3 linked regions of the Mus musculus genome follow. The protein of the gene in region 1 purifies or fractionates together with the protein of each later gene. This does not show direct contact. Links are inferred from orthologs where the notes say so. Each region holds a gene or a part of one and is shown in the gene's direction. Other genes may lie near its edges.

What was found.
Region 2: the proteins of Rab24 (region 1) and Gdi1 purify together in Homo sapiens (affinity purification with mass spectrometry; 3 studies listed by BioGRID and IntAct, counting the BioPlex papers as one, with this or other methods). This does not show direct contact. The link is inferred for Mus musculus from reciprocal best matches to the Homo sapiens genes RAB24 and GDI1.
Region 3: the proteins of Rab24 (region 1) and Gdi2 purify together in Homo sapiens (affinity purification with mass spectrometry; 3 studies listed by BioGRID and IntAct, with this or other methods). This does not show direct contact. The link is inferred for Mus musculus from reciprocal best matches to the Homo sapiens genes RAB24 and GDI2.

The regions. Positions count from the first base shown.
Region 1 is NC_000079.6:55,318,552-55,323,186, reverse strand, and holds Rab24 (ras-related protein Rab-24), read left to right. Parts: upstream 1-1,206; 5' UTR 1,207-1,532; coding exon 1,533-1,649; intron 1,650-1,728; coding exon 1,729-1,797; intron 1,798-2,006; coding exon 2,007-2,085; intron 2,086-2,192; coding exon 2,193-2,260; intron 2,261-2,342; coding exon 2,343-2,442; intron 2,443-2,633; coding exon 2,634-2,684; intron 2,685-2,812; coding exon 2,813-2,875; intron 2,876-2,950; coding exon of another isoform or gene 2,951-2,972; coding exon 2,973-3,037; coding exon of another isoform or gene 3,038-3,204; 3' UTR 3,205-3,964; downstream 3,965-4,635. Other genes in the region: Prelid1 (PRELI domain-containing protein 1, mitochondrial precursor), read right to left, coding at 109-334, 906-997.
Region 2 is NC_000086.7:74,303,872-74,308,407, forward strand, and holds the start of Gdi1 (rab GDP dissociation inhibitor alpha), read left to right. Parts: upstream 1-1,140; 5' UTR 1,141-1,525; coding exon 1,526-1,570; intron 1,571-2,707; coding exon 2,708-2,815; intron 2,816-2,973; coding exon 2,974-3,073; intron 3,074-3,231; coding exon 3,232-3,366; intron 3,367-3,800; coding exon 3,801-3,999; intron 4,000-4,258; coding exon 4,259-4,390; intron 4,391-4,536. Other genes in the region: Atp6ap1 (V-type proton ATPase subunit S1 isoform 1 precursor), read left to right, coding at 1-135. UniProt on the Homo sapiens protein: Regulates the GDP/GTP exchange reaction of most Rab proteins by inhibiting the dissociation of GDP from them, and the subsequent binding of GTP to them. Promotes the dissociation of GDP-bound Rab proteins from the membrane and inhibits their activation.
Region 3 is NC_000079.6:3,536,933-3,541,567, forward strand, and holds the start of Gdi2 (rab GDP dissociation inhibitor beta), read left to right. Parts: upstream 1-1,142; 5' UTR 1,143-1,366; coding exon 1,367-1,411; intron 1,412-4,635. UniProt on the Homo sapiens protein: GDP-dissociation inhibitor preventing the GDP to GTP exchange of most Rab proteins. By keeping these small GTPases in their inactive GDP-bound form regulates intracellular membrane trafficking.

The DNA.
Region 1 (4,635 bases):
ATGCAGCTCATTGGTATTTTAGGCCTGCCTCTGGCCACAGAAGTTCCCACAACTCTCTTGCCTGAAATCTGAAGGGCAACTATTTTGAGGGAGCAAAGGAAGTCTCACCATCAGCCGGGCATGGTTGATGTTCCAGGTGAAGGTGGTCATGGTCTGATTCTGGGGGTCCACAATAGAGTCCTCCAGGATGTACACGGAGTGAGCAACGTTGGCAGGAAACAGTCGCTCTGCCCAACGTGGCATCCTGTTGGTCTTGGTCAGGAGTCTCCGGGACAGTAGCTTCTGGTCGGGGGTCACCTCCCGGTGCACTATGTCTTCGGTTAAGACATGTTTGCTGCAAGAGTTAAAGATGATTCTCAGGAGCCTGCTCTTGACAGCATGTCTACTGGTTCCTATTTAGCGCCTCCAGGTCATGGCTGCCTGCAATCTGTGATCTGTGCCCGGGTTCAGAATTAGAGTACACTGAACCTATCCCCGGGCAAATTCCAACTCCCTCCTCCACCCGACATGGATTCTGTGGCTCTCCAAAGCGAGCAAAATCTCAAGAATTATACCACTAGAGAGCGCCAGCAGCAGGTAAGCAAACCATCCTCAGGATTTCTGGCCCCGAAATACCGCTCAACTCCCGTGCTGCCGCCTCTTCCTGTCCAACCACCTTTGGACTGCAAAATAGAAATCTAGAGCCCAATATAAATCACAAACTAGACAATCTTCTTCGAGGACTTTGGAGGCTTGGACTGATTCTAATCCTATAAGGATTTTGTGCTATAACTGTGGCCACAGTTCCGCAGATAGCCCACATCGGACTCTGTCCAGTCTTTCAAACTCCACTATTGAAGGACAGCCTACGGTGCGATCTCCAGAAGAAGAGAGGAAGGCGACTCGCTCTACCCAACGCCACGTACCTATAGGGATTCGGGTACCGTTGCCAGAAGGCGGCGAACACTTGGTCCCAGGAACTTCGGAGCACGCTCTGGCCCAGGAAATACTTCACCATCGTCCCGACCCGGACGGGCTCAGCACCCGTGCAGCATCAGGGTGAAGAGCCCGGGGGTGGGGGGGACGTGGCTAGGCGCACGCCCGCCAGGCTCGCAGCTCAATCTCCGCAGGACCGCGCCCAGGTCCCTACCGCCGCCATCAGGGGTTATAGGACTGCACGACGCTTCCGGCGCCGGATGCATAGGATCGGCCACTTCCGGCGCCCGCGTCACGTGACCGGGCGTCCCGCCTCTTGGCTTCCAGTCCCAGAGGTGCTGTTTGGAGTTAGCTACGAGGACCCCAGATTCAGTCGGTAACCCCGGCGCAGCGGAGCTTCGGGCGCAGCGGCGGTCGCGCGGGTGAGCACCGCAGGGCTCTGCGGCGCGGTGGAGGGCGCTGTCCGCGTCCCCGCGCCGCGGCTCTGCAAAGGACGGAGCGCCCCGGGCCGAGGCGCCAGGGGCCTGCGAGGTGCGAGGCCCTTGGGGTTGGGGTCTGAGGCTTGGGCTCTGCCTGGGCCGCGCGGACCCTGAAGTGGGTGAGGCGGCCCAGGGAGCATGAGCGGGCAGCGCGTGGACGTTAAGGTGGTTATGCTGGGCAAGGAATACGTGGGCAAGACGAGCCTGGTGGAACGATACGTGCACGACCGCTTCTTGGTGGGGCCCTATCAGAACGTGAGTGCACCCCTGCGGAGCAGGCATGGGAGGAAGGGGTCCGGCCAGTATTCCACACTTATCTCTTCCCTGGTTGTAGACCATCGGGGCTGCTTTCGTGGCCAAGGTGATGTGCGTTGGAGACCGGACGGTGACTCTGGGCATTTGGGTAAGTCCCTTGAGAACAGAGTCTTGTGCAAACCTGTCTCCCGAATTTAATGTCTTGCCTCTTAAACCAGCCAACTGGAGCCTCATAGAGGTCGTTTTTCCTTCCTCACACCCATTTACTCGTCTAAAAAAAGGAGGGGGGGTTGTCTGGAAGATGGGGCCTATTTTGTAGTCTTGTGAAGGAGCTTATTAACTCCTTTCACCCCTCAGGACACAGCAGGTTCCGAGCGCTACGAAGCCATGAGCAGAATCTATTACCGGGGTGCTAAAGCTGCAATTGTCTGTTATGGTAAGGGGTTGAATTCTGGCGTGTTCAAGTAGTAAGGGTTAGGTTACAGGCCAGCATCAGAGGGAAGCCGCTGATCTTTATGTGTCTCTTGCCTTACCCTTACCAAGACCTCACTGACAGCAGCAGCTTTGAGAGAGCCAAGTTCTGGGTTAAGGAGCTGCGCAGTTTAGAAGAGGTAGGTGGCCAGATATCACAAGAGTAGGGACAGAGACTGTATTGGTCTGTGGAGATAATCTCAGCCTTGTCTTCTGCTACAGGGCTGTCAAATCTACCTGTGTGGCACTAAGAGTGACCTGCTGGAGGAAGACAGGCGGCGCCGTCGTGTAGACTTCCATGATGTTCAGGACTATGCCGATAGTAGCTGTTTTTAAGTCTCTGAGGATGGGGGCTTGGGGGCGGGTACTATCTGCCTGAGTGTATTTCAAAGATGGGAATGACAGTCTTGGTTGCTTTCTGGCCTTCTTGAACCTGTGTGGTTCAGGAGACTGAACTGTTAGCTACATTTAGGTGTGCTCCCCAAGTGTGAAGACAGTCACTTCTCTTTGCAGATATCAAAGCCCAACTCTTTGAAACATCCAGCAAGACAGGCCAAAGTGTGGGTGAGTGTTGTCTTGGGTCCTGTCAGCAGGAACAGGCAGGACAGTAGAGCAGAAAGGTTCAGAGGGCTGGGCCACTGGGATACCCAGGGCTGCTGGTCTCAGGCCCTCACTGATTCTTTGCTTGCCAGATGAACTCTTCCAGAAAGTGGCTGAGGATTACGTCAGTGTGGCTGCTTTCCAGGTGATGACAGGTGTGTACTTCCTCATGGTCCCCAGCCTTCTTGGTGACCTACTTGATGCCCCGACATAATAGTAGTGCTGAGCAGTCACCTCTCCTCTCTTTGACAGAGGACAAAGGTGTGGATTTGAGCCAGAAGGCAAACCCTTACTTCTACAGCTGTTGTCATCACTGAGTCACCACTCATCTGGCCCAGTGGAATTAGATGAATTCCCAGAGGGGCTGGACCTGACTCTTGTCTGGGCTGGAATGGTCAAGCGTCTGAGCTATTCCAGGTGCCTCTCACAGCAGAGGTGGCACCTGCCTGTGCTGGCCCATGGAACGGAGGAAGTATTGGGCTGACTGTGGGCATGAGGAGGAGTAAGGGCTGACTTGAATCCCAGGCTTCTGTCCAGACTATTTAAGTAGCTTCTGAACTGTAAATAAAATTGATGCATTTCCTTGCTGTGTGCACTGGGTGTCAAAACACCTAGTTGTTCCTGGGGCCACGTGGGCCTCACTTATATGAAGACTTCCATCTGGAACCAAGTAACAGTTTCCTAAGACTATCACTGAAACCATGGATAAACAATGGGCTCTTTTTCTTATGGCCTTTTTATTAGTGCTTACATGTCTGAGTGTAGAGCAAATACCAGGGCTTCTAACATACTAGGCAAGAACTATATCACTTTTTTTCTTTTGTGGGGGTGAAGATAGGTTGAGGCTGGGATGGAAAAGTACAAAGTTCAGGAGAAGACGAAGGAAAGCACCTCAGCTGTGCCCAGAGACAAAAGGCTTGGGTACATCAACCTCAAGACGAGTTGGTTAGGCCAGCTCTACCTGTTGTGTTATGTCTGAACCTGTGCTCAGGGGTGTGACTCAGTCCTAAGCTTCCCAGTGAAACCCTATAATGTACGCAACAAGAGGCAACTCCATCTTTCTATAACTCAAAAAGGTCTTATGCATCCAATTTAGTTGCTAACTTAGAAAAAGGCCTTGAAGCTTCCAAACCTTTACTCACTGCACTCTAGAGGCAGAGGCAGCAGATCTCCAAGTTTAAGACCAGCATGGTCTACAGACTGATTCCCAGTTCAGCCAGGACTACACCGTGAAAACTATTGTGAAAAATAAAAAAGGGCTTTAAGATGGAATGGTGGCTGGGCAGTGGTGGCGCACACCTTTAATCCCACTAAGCACTTGGGAGGCAGGGACAGGTGGATTTCGGAGTTCAAGGCCAGCCTGGTCTACAGAGTGAGTTCCAGGACAGCCAAGGCTATACAGAGAAACCAAAAAATAAAAAGATGGAATGGTGGCCTGTGCCTTTAATTCTAGCACCCTGGATGCAAAGGCAGGTAGGCTTTTGAGTTGCAGGCCACCACAGCTGCATAGTAACAGCCCACCCCTCAAAAAAACTCATTAAAGAATAAGAAAAATAAGGCAACTGCTAACTTATTCAGGATCAGAAACACTGAAAAGCTATGTGCTCATGTAAAAAGGGCTAATACTTCCCGTTTAAGCAAGAGGAAGTGTATTACAACCCTTTCCAGTTATTGGTGAGGATGTGGGCTCAACTAGGGTTCTACCTTTGCCTCTGCTTTCCCTCTTAAGCCTGAGTCTTCAAACTTGCCTTTGAAGATTTCAGAATCCCCAACCTGGTCCCATTCATGCCATCCAAGCAACTGGGAAGCTGCTGCAGGAGGAAGACTTGTTTGAAGTTAGCCTGAACTGTACAGTGAAACTTTAATTCAAAAATAGAACTCAAAGTGCTGGTTTCATTTCTCTAAAATAATTCCT
Region 2 (4,536 bases), on another chromosome or scaffold:
TGGATGGGTCTGCTCACCACCCTCTTCATGCTTTTCATATTCACCTATGGTCTGCACATGATACTCAGCCTAAAGACCATGGATCGCTTTGATGACCACAAGGGCCCCACCATCACTTTGACCCAGATTGTGTGACATACACCTGAGAGGAATTGAGGGAGTATTGGTGTCTAGGTTGTCATGTTTCTGTTTTGTGACACAGTGGATGGAAAGGTTTGTCCTCTTCCTACTATAGCATGAACCCTACATACGCCACCCTCAGTCTCTCTTGCTTCCTCTTTAACCCGGAGAGGGACTCCCCTGTGGCTATCCCCCATCTCTACCAACAAAGTGTATTCTTCATAGATATTAGATAAATCTTCCAGGCTTCATCATCAAGAGGGGAAGGGACCTTAATTCTAGGGTCTCCCCTTTACCCTCTCTCCTTATTTATTCTTGCCCCTCTGCTATTATTCCTTGCTGTTTATAGTGCTTTTGTGTAGTAAATGCTCACTCCCCAAGCTTTATGGAGCTTCCAGCAACAGCCATGAACTTGAGGTTCCTTGAATTTGCGAGGTGTGGAAAGACTACTTGACTGTCTGTCCAGCTTAGCTGTTATGTTTTTTGGGGGGGAGGGGTGATGTGTTAAGAGTGAGTGGTACACTGGGGTTTATTTCTGTGGCCTGGGAAGGAAGAAACCATCACGAGGATTGGTGAACAAAGTGTGCTCACTGGGTTTCTGGATTATTCCCATAAAGACTGCCTGTCAAGAGGCCGGAGGTGTGTGTGGGGGGTTGCTCTGTTGTTTCCTTCCTAATAAAATAAAGACGTGTTGCCTTGTGTTGGGCTTCGTGTCACTCATTTCTGCACTGAACAGTAGATTTTTTTTTCTTGACTGAAGGGAAGAAGTGCTCAGATGTAGTCCAGTCATGCAAGAGGTGAGAGAGGAAGGGTGGGAGGGTCTTCAGTAAGCTGATACTCTTAACAAACCTACTTAGAGTAGAGGCTTGTTACTTTTCCTGGCCTTGGGAGGAATCCTGACAATGGTAGCTCCGCTACTGTGCAACAACACACAGCAGGGCTTCCATACCTTGTGTTTCTCCCAGGGGGCGGTACGGGAGCGCGCGGGGCGGGGCGGGGCGCGCGCGGCTCCCGCGCAAGGATCTTTCGGAGGACTCAGCACCTGCTGCCGGCCTGCCCCGCCCCGTATTTTTCTGGGCTCACGAAGAGCCCCGATAACCCCTGCAGTCATTCTGGTGCTGGGACCCAGGTGACAGAAGCCCTCCCAGAAAACAAGCAAGGAAATGATGACTGGTTGGGCGGGGCGGGGCCAGCGGAGAGAGAGAGGGACTCATTAACGCTGCGTAGGGATCAGGAGACAACCGACAGACGCCATCTTTGGTTCAGTGCGGCGGCAGTGACAGAAGCAGCGGCAGGGGCAGCAGCAGCAGCGGCAGTAGCAGCAGTAGCAATAGTAGAGGTAGTGGTAGCGGCTGCTGTGGTGAAGGAGGAGGAGCAGAGCGGACGCTGGTACCAAGGCCTGATCATGGATGAGGAATACGATGTGATTGTGCTGGGGACAGGTCTTACCGTAAGTGCCACTTCAGGCTCTCATAGCCCTGCATCATGCCATCCCTCCCCACCCCACGCCATCCCTCCCCACCCCACTCCATCCCGCATTGATGCAGAGTCCGGTATCCGATCCATCCTCCCATCATCCTAGCTCCAGCCCTGGGAAAACCAACCCCATGCCCAACCCACTACCTCACCCTAGGATGTCGATTCCAGTTCCCAATTCTCTGTAGAGGGCCCCACTTTGTCCTGTGTTCCTGCACTCTAGTACTTAACCTCAGACCCCTATTCTTCCCTATCTCTATCACCGAGGTGGAAAACTCACCCCCCCACACACACAGTGGAACCATTGCACCCAGCCCCCACCCTTTGCCTGAACTCATCACCTGCTCCAAGGCCTTGATTAGCATCCCTTACCATCTTGTGATCAAACTAGGGGATGGAATATGAAGATGGGTATGGGGACATTACAAGGGTGGGCCCTCATCATGCTTTTCTGCTTTTTGGGATGGGATAGGAAACCCATGGAATGTTCCAGAGACAGCAGGAGTGTGTGTGTGGGGGGTGTGGGGGGGGGGTAGTGACCACTTTACCTCTGCCCCAACTTGGTTTCCCATGGAGATCTCAGACTGAATATATATCCTCAGCCTTTGTCCTTGGGTTAGTGACTGACTGGTGAGGGTGTTTGTCTCTTCCCTGCCCCCGCCCCCCCCAACCCCCACCCCCGGCCTAAATCTTTTTAGTTTGAACCCTGAGTCTAGACCAGTGGATAGGGCCAGAAGAGAGTCAGGGGCTCCTGCCCTTTGAAGGAGGAGCAGGGTGGGGCCTGGGATTTCAAGGACTTGGCCTTCTCTTTCAAAGGTCCTTTGAATTGGTTCTTCTTGTAGACTCATTGTCTTTTTGTGGGCTCAGAGAAGTAGATACTTCTCTTGGCTTGTTGATGCTGGAAGACTTGGAAGCTGAAAGCTCTGCCCCCCAAACCTCCTTTAATGCTCCAGTAGTTTACTCAGCAGGGTTGTAAAGGAAACATCATATGAAGCCATCTTCTCCTCCCCAGTTTTAGGCACTGAAAAGAGCTGCATTATAAAATTGGTGGTGGGCATGAAGCAAGTTGGAGGGTTATGGGGTATAGCTGCAAATGTCACTCCTTCCCCAGGAATGCATCCTGTCTGGCATCATGTCTGTGAATGGAAAGAAGGTGCTGCACATGGACCGAAACCCCTACTATGGGGGTGAGAGCTCTTCCATCACACCCCTGGAGGAGGTAAGATTTCTTATTCTTAGACCTGGGCTTAGACCCAGATCCTTGTTAGTCTTCCACATAGGTATAAGGGGGCGAAGTAATTCTCAGGTACTGGGCAGGAGAGTGGGAAAGGGCGACAGGTCCTTGACATTTTTCTTTCTTTCCTGTCCTGCTTACAGCTATATAAGCGCTTTCAGATACTGGAAGGGCCCCCTGAATCAATGGGCCGGGGCCGAGACTGGAATGTTGACTTGATCCCCAAATTCCTCATGGCCAATGGTGAGAGAGATTAAAAAGATGCTGTATATGGTTTTGGGGGTGGTGAGTGGGAAGACGGAGTGGGGAGAGATTGGTCAATCTCAAGAATATGGTCAGTCAGACTACTGAGAGTTTTTGAAGGAAAACACAACAATGTCCCTTATTTCCTCTGGACACAGGTCAGCTGGTAAAGATGCTACTATATACAGAAGTGACTCGATATCTGGACTTCAAGGTGGTAGAGGGCAGCTTTGTATATAAGGGGGGCAAGATCTACAAAGTGCCATCCACCGAGACTGAGGCCTTGGCTTCTAGTGAGTATGAGTCTCCTTAACCAGAGAATAATGGGGCTGGATGAGACAGACTATTTTCAGGACAGTTAGGCAAAAGGCTCATCTTTGCCTGAAACTAATCTTAGCTCTGTGTAGTCCTAGAGGACCCTTACTTTATAGTGTATTGATTGGACAGTGCTACCCATCCTGGCAAGTTGCCAGAAAGTTCACAGAACAGGATTCCTTTTTGTCAGAGGGCCTACTTGCCCTGTAGCATCCCTACGTGGAACTAGAAGGGTTTCTTCCTACAAAAAGAAAATTGAGATCAAGAAGGGTGGGGTAGTGTTACATGATAGAGTATTGGTGGGAGCCAATACTCTACATTACATACAACCAGCTTTCTTGGCCTGCTCTGGTGGAAAGAGGAGTTCTATGTCCCAGTAATGCTAAGGGTCTTCTCAATACCTTTCTTTCAGATCTGATGGGCATGTTTGAAAAACGACGCTTCCGAAAATTTTTGGTGTTTGTGGCAAACTTTGATGAGAATGACCCCAAAACCTTTGAGGGTGTTGATCCCCAGAACACCAGCATGCGTGATGTCTACCGGAAGTTTGACCTGGGTCAAGATGTCATAGATTTCACTGGCCATGCCTTGGCGCTCTACCGCACTGATGAGTGAGGGGAAAGCTGGCTGGTGATGGGAGCCCCTTCTCTGGCTCACACCTTGCCCTCCCCACACCTGCCTATTGTACCTACTGCCCACCCTGCATGTCTCTTGTGCTCAGCTCCAGACTCACCTGTTCCATTTCAGTCCCTCTCCATTTGACCCACATCTTTGCCAGGTCACAAAGGGTGGTGGGAAGGTTGGCTGGTGTCTTTGTAGGTGAGCAAGGATGCCGCTGCCAAAGCATCTTCCTTGGCTCTTGTTCCCCAGCTACCTGGATCAGCCCTGTCTTGAGACTATTAACCGCATCAAGTTGTACAGCGAGTCCCTGGCCCGGTATGGCAAGAGCCCCTATTTATACCCACTGTATGGCCTGGGTGAGCTGCCCCAGGGCTTTGCCAGGTGAGGATCTGTCTTTTTCGGATAGTATTACTAGTAAGACTAAGGCCAAGAATGAAAATTACCTTGAATATTTTTGAGGCATCTCCTACTTTCCCATCTAATTTTCATGTATATTATTCCATCCCTGGGTAATGGGGGCACTGCGC
Region 3 (4,635 bases), about 52 Mb from region 1:
AATAAACTAGTTTTACCTTTGGAATCAAAGGTGTGCACTTAGGGTGTGCCTGTATTCCAGCAAGATTAAAGGTGTGTGCTAAGGGCCGAGGCACAGCACAGCTAGTTCAAAGCCAGTGGAGCTTGATGTCCAAGGGGCCTGCAAATGTTGCTTTAATGGTCCTGAGGGTTACTGGAAGGTCTACTTTGCACCCTGACAATTCTGTTGTCCAAACAAAACAAAACAACTCTGAAATTAATTAGATTCAACAAAGTTTTAACAAGGATCAGGATCCAGAACCAGGCAGCACACCAAAGATGGTTCAGAAGCCCCACCTCTAGTGTGGTAATTGCATGTAGAGGCTGAAACACAGCAAACATACAAAATATAGTGCAATTCAGCATTTGCCTTTATAAGCACATTTTGGCAGCCTTCAGCCTGAGAGACTAGTTGAAGCCCAGTTGCTTGGGTACCAGGGTTATCAACTCTTAAATTTATAACCTGCTTTGCATCACAAGCTAGAATGCGGAGCATTATATAGGAAAGCCATTCTGGACCACATTTTACCTAAAGCATGGATACCAGTTTAGAACACATTTATTTGTTCGAACAGAACCATACAAGTTTAAAGCAGGGCACACAGAATCCTGAGGTCTTCCCAGCCCCGCGCGGGCAGGGGCAGGGGCAGGGCCAGGAGCCAAGCTGCAGAGGCAACGAGGCTGCCAACCTTCGGAGAGGCTGGCGTCCTCACGACTTGGCCCCGCTCGGCCAGGGCGATGCACGTACACCTCTCAAAGTCCCAAGGGCGGAGCTTGGGCTCCGTGGCCCGAAGCCTAAACAACCGTGCTCCATCTCACACCTTGGCGCGAGAGTCAGGCACGTGGTAGCCCAGCTGCAGTTTCCGCCTTGTTCCTCCTATTCAACTAGACCCTCAGCTTCGCATGTCGCCGCCCATACCACAGGAGCACAAGACGGGTGAAATTTAAAAAAAAAAAAAAAAAAAAAGCGCAAAACCGGAAGCCAAGATGGCAGCAGTCCGCCCTTCTCTCGCGAGAGGGGAACGAGGGGGGGAGAGGTGGGGTTAAGGAAATTCACCAATGAGAGAGCAGGATCCCCTTGACTGACGGCGCCGTCGGCCTCTCGCACGCCCCGCCCCGGCGCCGGAGCTCGCTCTCCTCACCCCGCGCTCTCCCCGCCTCCCCTCCCTCCCCTCCCTGCTCTTCTCTTCCCGTTGAGGTGGCGGCCGGCCTCTCCTCCTCCTCAGCTCCGTTTTTCCTCTCCTCGCTTTTTCCCTTTCCCCCCGACCCCCGGGGCCCAGAGCGGCCGGACTTCTCGCTCCCTTCTCTACGGCGGCCTCCGAGCCCCCGCGTGCGCTCCTTTCCCCGCCATGAATGAGGAATACGACGTGATCGTGCTGGGCACCGGCCTGACGGTGAGCTGCGGCGGGCTGCGGGGAGACGCGGCCGGCCGGCCTCCGCCGGGCCCGGGGGCGAGGGCGGGTCCCATCGGTGTGCACGAGCCTCGCCCGCGCCCGAACTGCCGGTGTCTGCGCCCCCTTGGGGGCCGTCCCCACTCGCCCGCGTTGAGTCTGGGATAGGGAGGTCGTGGCTTGTTGGGATGCAGTGATTTGAAGGCGTCGGTAGTGTGTTAGGGAAAACCAGGATGTGGAAGCCGGGACGTGTCCGTGGGAAGCCTGCCCATTGGGAAGTTGAGGGCAGAACCGCCCAGCAGCCGGAGAGAGACAGCCTCGTCCTCCTGCAGGAAGGAAGAGGACCGGGAAAACAGCTTGTGCTCCTTGCACTTCCCCTTTGGGTGAATGACCTCTCCCGCTTGGAAGCAGGCAAGCCCTGGACCGAGCGGGAGGGAGTCGCTGCTGGCGCCTGCACTTCCTATGTAAGTGGCGAGTAGCAGCAGCAGCAGCAGCAGCAGCAGCTTACTCAGCTAGTCTCAGGGCGCAGAAAGCCAAACAGAAGGATGATCGCTGATCGATAATTTGTCCTAGAGTTTGGCCAACTTAAGTTTCTAGAGAAAATCATGAAACGAGTTTCTTTAGGAAAAAAACAAACACCCTTTTTCTAATTGCTTCACTGCCCTCTCATCCACTCGCTTGAAATGGGAAATGAATTTTCTCAAAACTTGTCTGTTAAATACTTTTCACGTCCGGCCCGTGCTTCCCTTTTGTTTGGTTTATTGCGTGCCGCCACAGTTTCTTGAGAAGGGGGAGGCTAAGTTCTCTGTACTTGTTACACTTCTGGGAGGTTAGAAAATAAATGCGCAGTGTGAATGTACTGGTATGTAAATGTAAGGCGGTCCCTAATGCTCCAGTACGTTTTCGTCAGTATCTATCTGCTTAAATATGGGAAAAATATAGACAGGTTTTTATACTTTGTGCTTTCCCCCCGGCCCCCCACTGTGACAAAAGGGCTGATCTTTTGCAAAAAGGAGTTGGGAAGAGAACCGACCATTTTGAATATCAATTGCGGTGTGTGTGTGTGGGGGGGGTATTGAATGTGAAATTATGGGTAAATTACTTCATCTGGAACATTGATGTATGGATCCCATATGTCTATCCATCAAATGTCCAAGTCATTTAATAAGAGCCCCACGGCTTTCGACTTTGTTGAAATGCATTGGCATTTCTTTCTTTCTTTTTTTTTTTTTTCCTCGAGACAGGGTTTCTCTAAGTAGCCCTGGCTGTCCTGGAACTCACTTTGTAGACCAGGCTGGCCTCGAACTCAGAAATTCGCCTGTCTCTGCCTCCACCACCGCCCAGCTTGCATTGGCATTTCTTAGAATCAAATTAATATCTTTAAGATAAAATACTCGGAAATAACTGTTTTAGAGAAAACCTTCAAGATTTTTTATTCTACTTTTTTTCTTTTAATACTTTTAGGAAAAGCTTATTTTTCTCTTTGAAGTGATGAATGATTGCTAGAAGAGATTATTGAATTCTGACAAGTTCTCACCTTGTAGCTCTGGTTGTCCAGGAATGCAGAGCTCTGCCTATCCCTGCCTTCTGGGTGTTGGGATGAAAGGCAAGGCCAAGATGTTCTGCTCAAGGCTCAGTAACATGTGACTGCCCAGAGAGTAGACTGGAGATAGACATCATTGCTCACCTACAAGGCCATCTACTTAACTTTGAATGAATGACTGAATTTCTTTTATTTTTTTGAGGCAAGATCTTTCTCTGTAGCCTAGCTATACTGGAACTCCCTATATAGATCAGGCTGACCCTGAATTTAAAAGATATTTCTACCTTCTAGCCTTCCCAGTAGTTGGTCAGTGCTTGGATTAAAAGGCACATACTGTCACACCCAGCCATTGGAACACCCACCCCCCACCCTCAACCCCGTCAGTTGGGGAGACTTGAATGGCTAAATTAATCACTACCCAGGGCTCTCTGCAGGTTGACCTTTTTTAGTGCCTAATTGGGGGTTCCGGGCATAGTAAGTAGTTTGTGATGGTGGCCTGTTAGTGGGCCCTGTGGCTGCCAGCATATTGTGAGAGCCAATTATTTCTCTTTTATATTGTCATTGCTAATACTTCACATTTGCCCATTAATAGGGTGGGTTGAGTGTAGCTAAGTGAGCCCAGAGGCTTCCTGCAGGCTTCCACAGGCCTAGTTTAGAAGCATCATTTTGTATCAAAGATAGCACAGTCTGTTTAACAAAGTAACACCCTTTATTTAAATTTTCACTTGAATTGTGAATTTCTTAATGGGTAGTGGATACATAAGTAACTAGAATTTAGAACAGTTTCTGCTGTCTTACAGCTATGCTAACCTTGTTTCTCACTGGGCCTTCCTAGATCTATACTGGGAAATGTTTTAGAATTGTATCAGTGTAGCTTGTGATCATCATAGGACCATCATTAATAGACACAGTAATAGCAGAATGATGTTGACAATAAGAAATGACATTAGTAGAACTTGGGTGAAATCTTGAGTTAGGTTAAATCTTGAAGAGACTCCCAGTCAAAGTTAAAAGCCACAAATTAGATGTAACTTTGAATATCAGAATGTACATGGCATTAATGTTTGGCTTGTAGACATTTAGTGCTGGAGATTTCAGAACCTAGTAAAAGGGTGTATACCAAATGTATATTATTGTTATGTCAAGGACTTTGAGTGAAGGAAACTTGTTACTTTAGTGTTGCTTGGTGTTGGCATTCTTTTCTATCAGTTAACTTCACATTAATCCTCACGCATTGAAAGTTACTTTAGTAAAGAAGACCTTTAGTTTTCTATGAGAAATGGCAGATTCTGTGTAATTATCTAACATTGAGAATTATCACTTTAAAGGCTATGAGGTCATGGTACACACATTTAATCCCAGCACTTGGGGAAGAGGGGTGGGCACAGACACAGATGGACCTCTGAGTTGGATGCCAGTCTGGTTGACAGAACTTAAGGACAGCCAGGGCTACACAGAGGAACCCTGTCTGGACAAAGAAAAAAAAAAAGTAGTAGTGCTCCGCCCCCCTCCAAACCTATAGTTTGTAGACAAGCCTTTCTACTGACACCAGAGTAAGGAGAGTGACTGTCTTGGTAAGTAGTGTTTTGTGATGACTAATTTTTGTGCTGTGACATTTGAATGCATTAAGTCCCAGTGAGCTTTGTGGGGCCTTCAGCCCCTTTAACTAGGCTCAGGCTGCTTT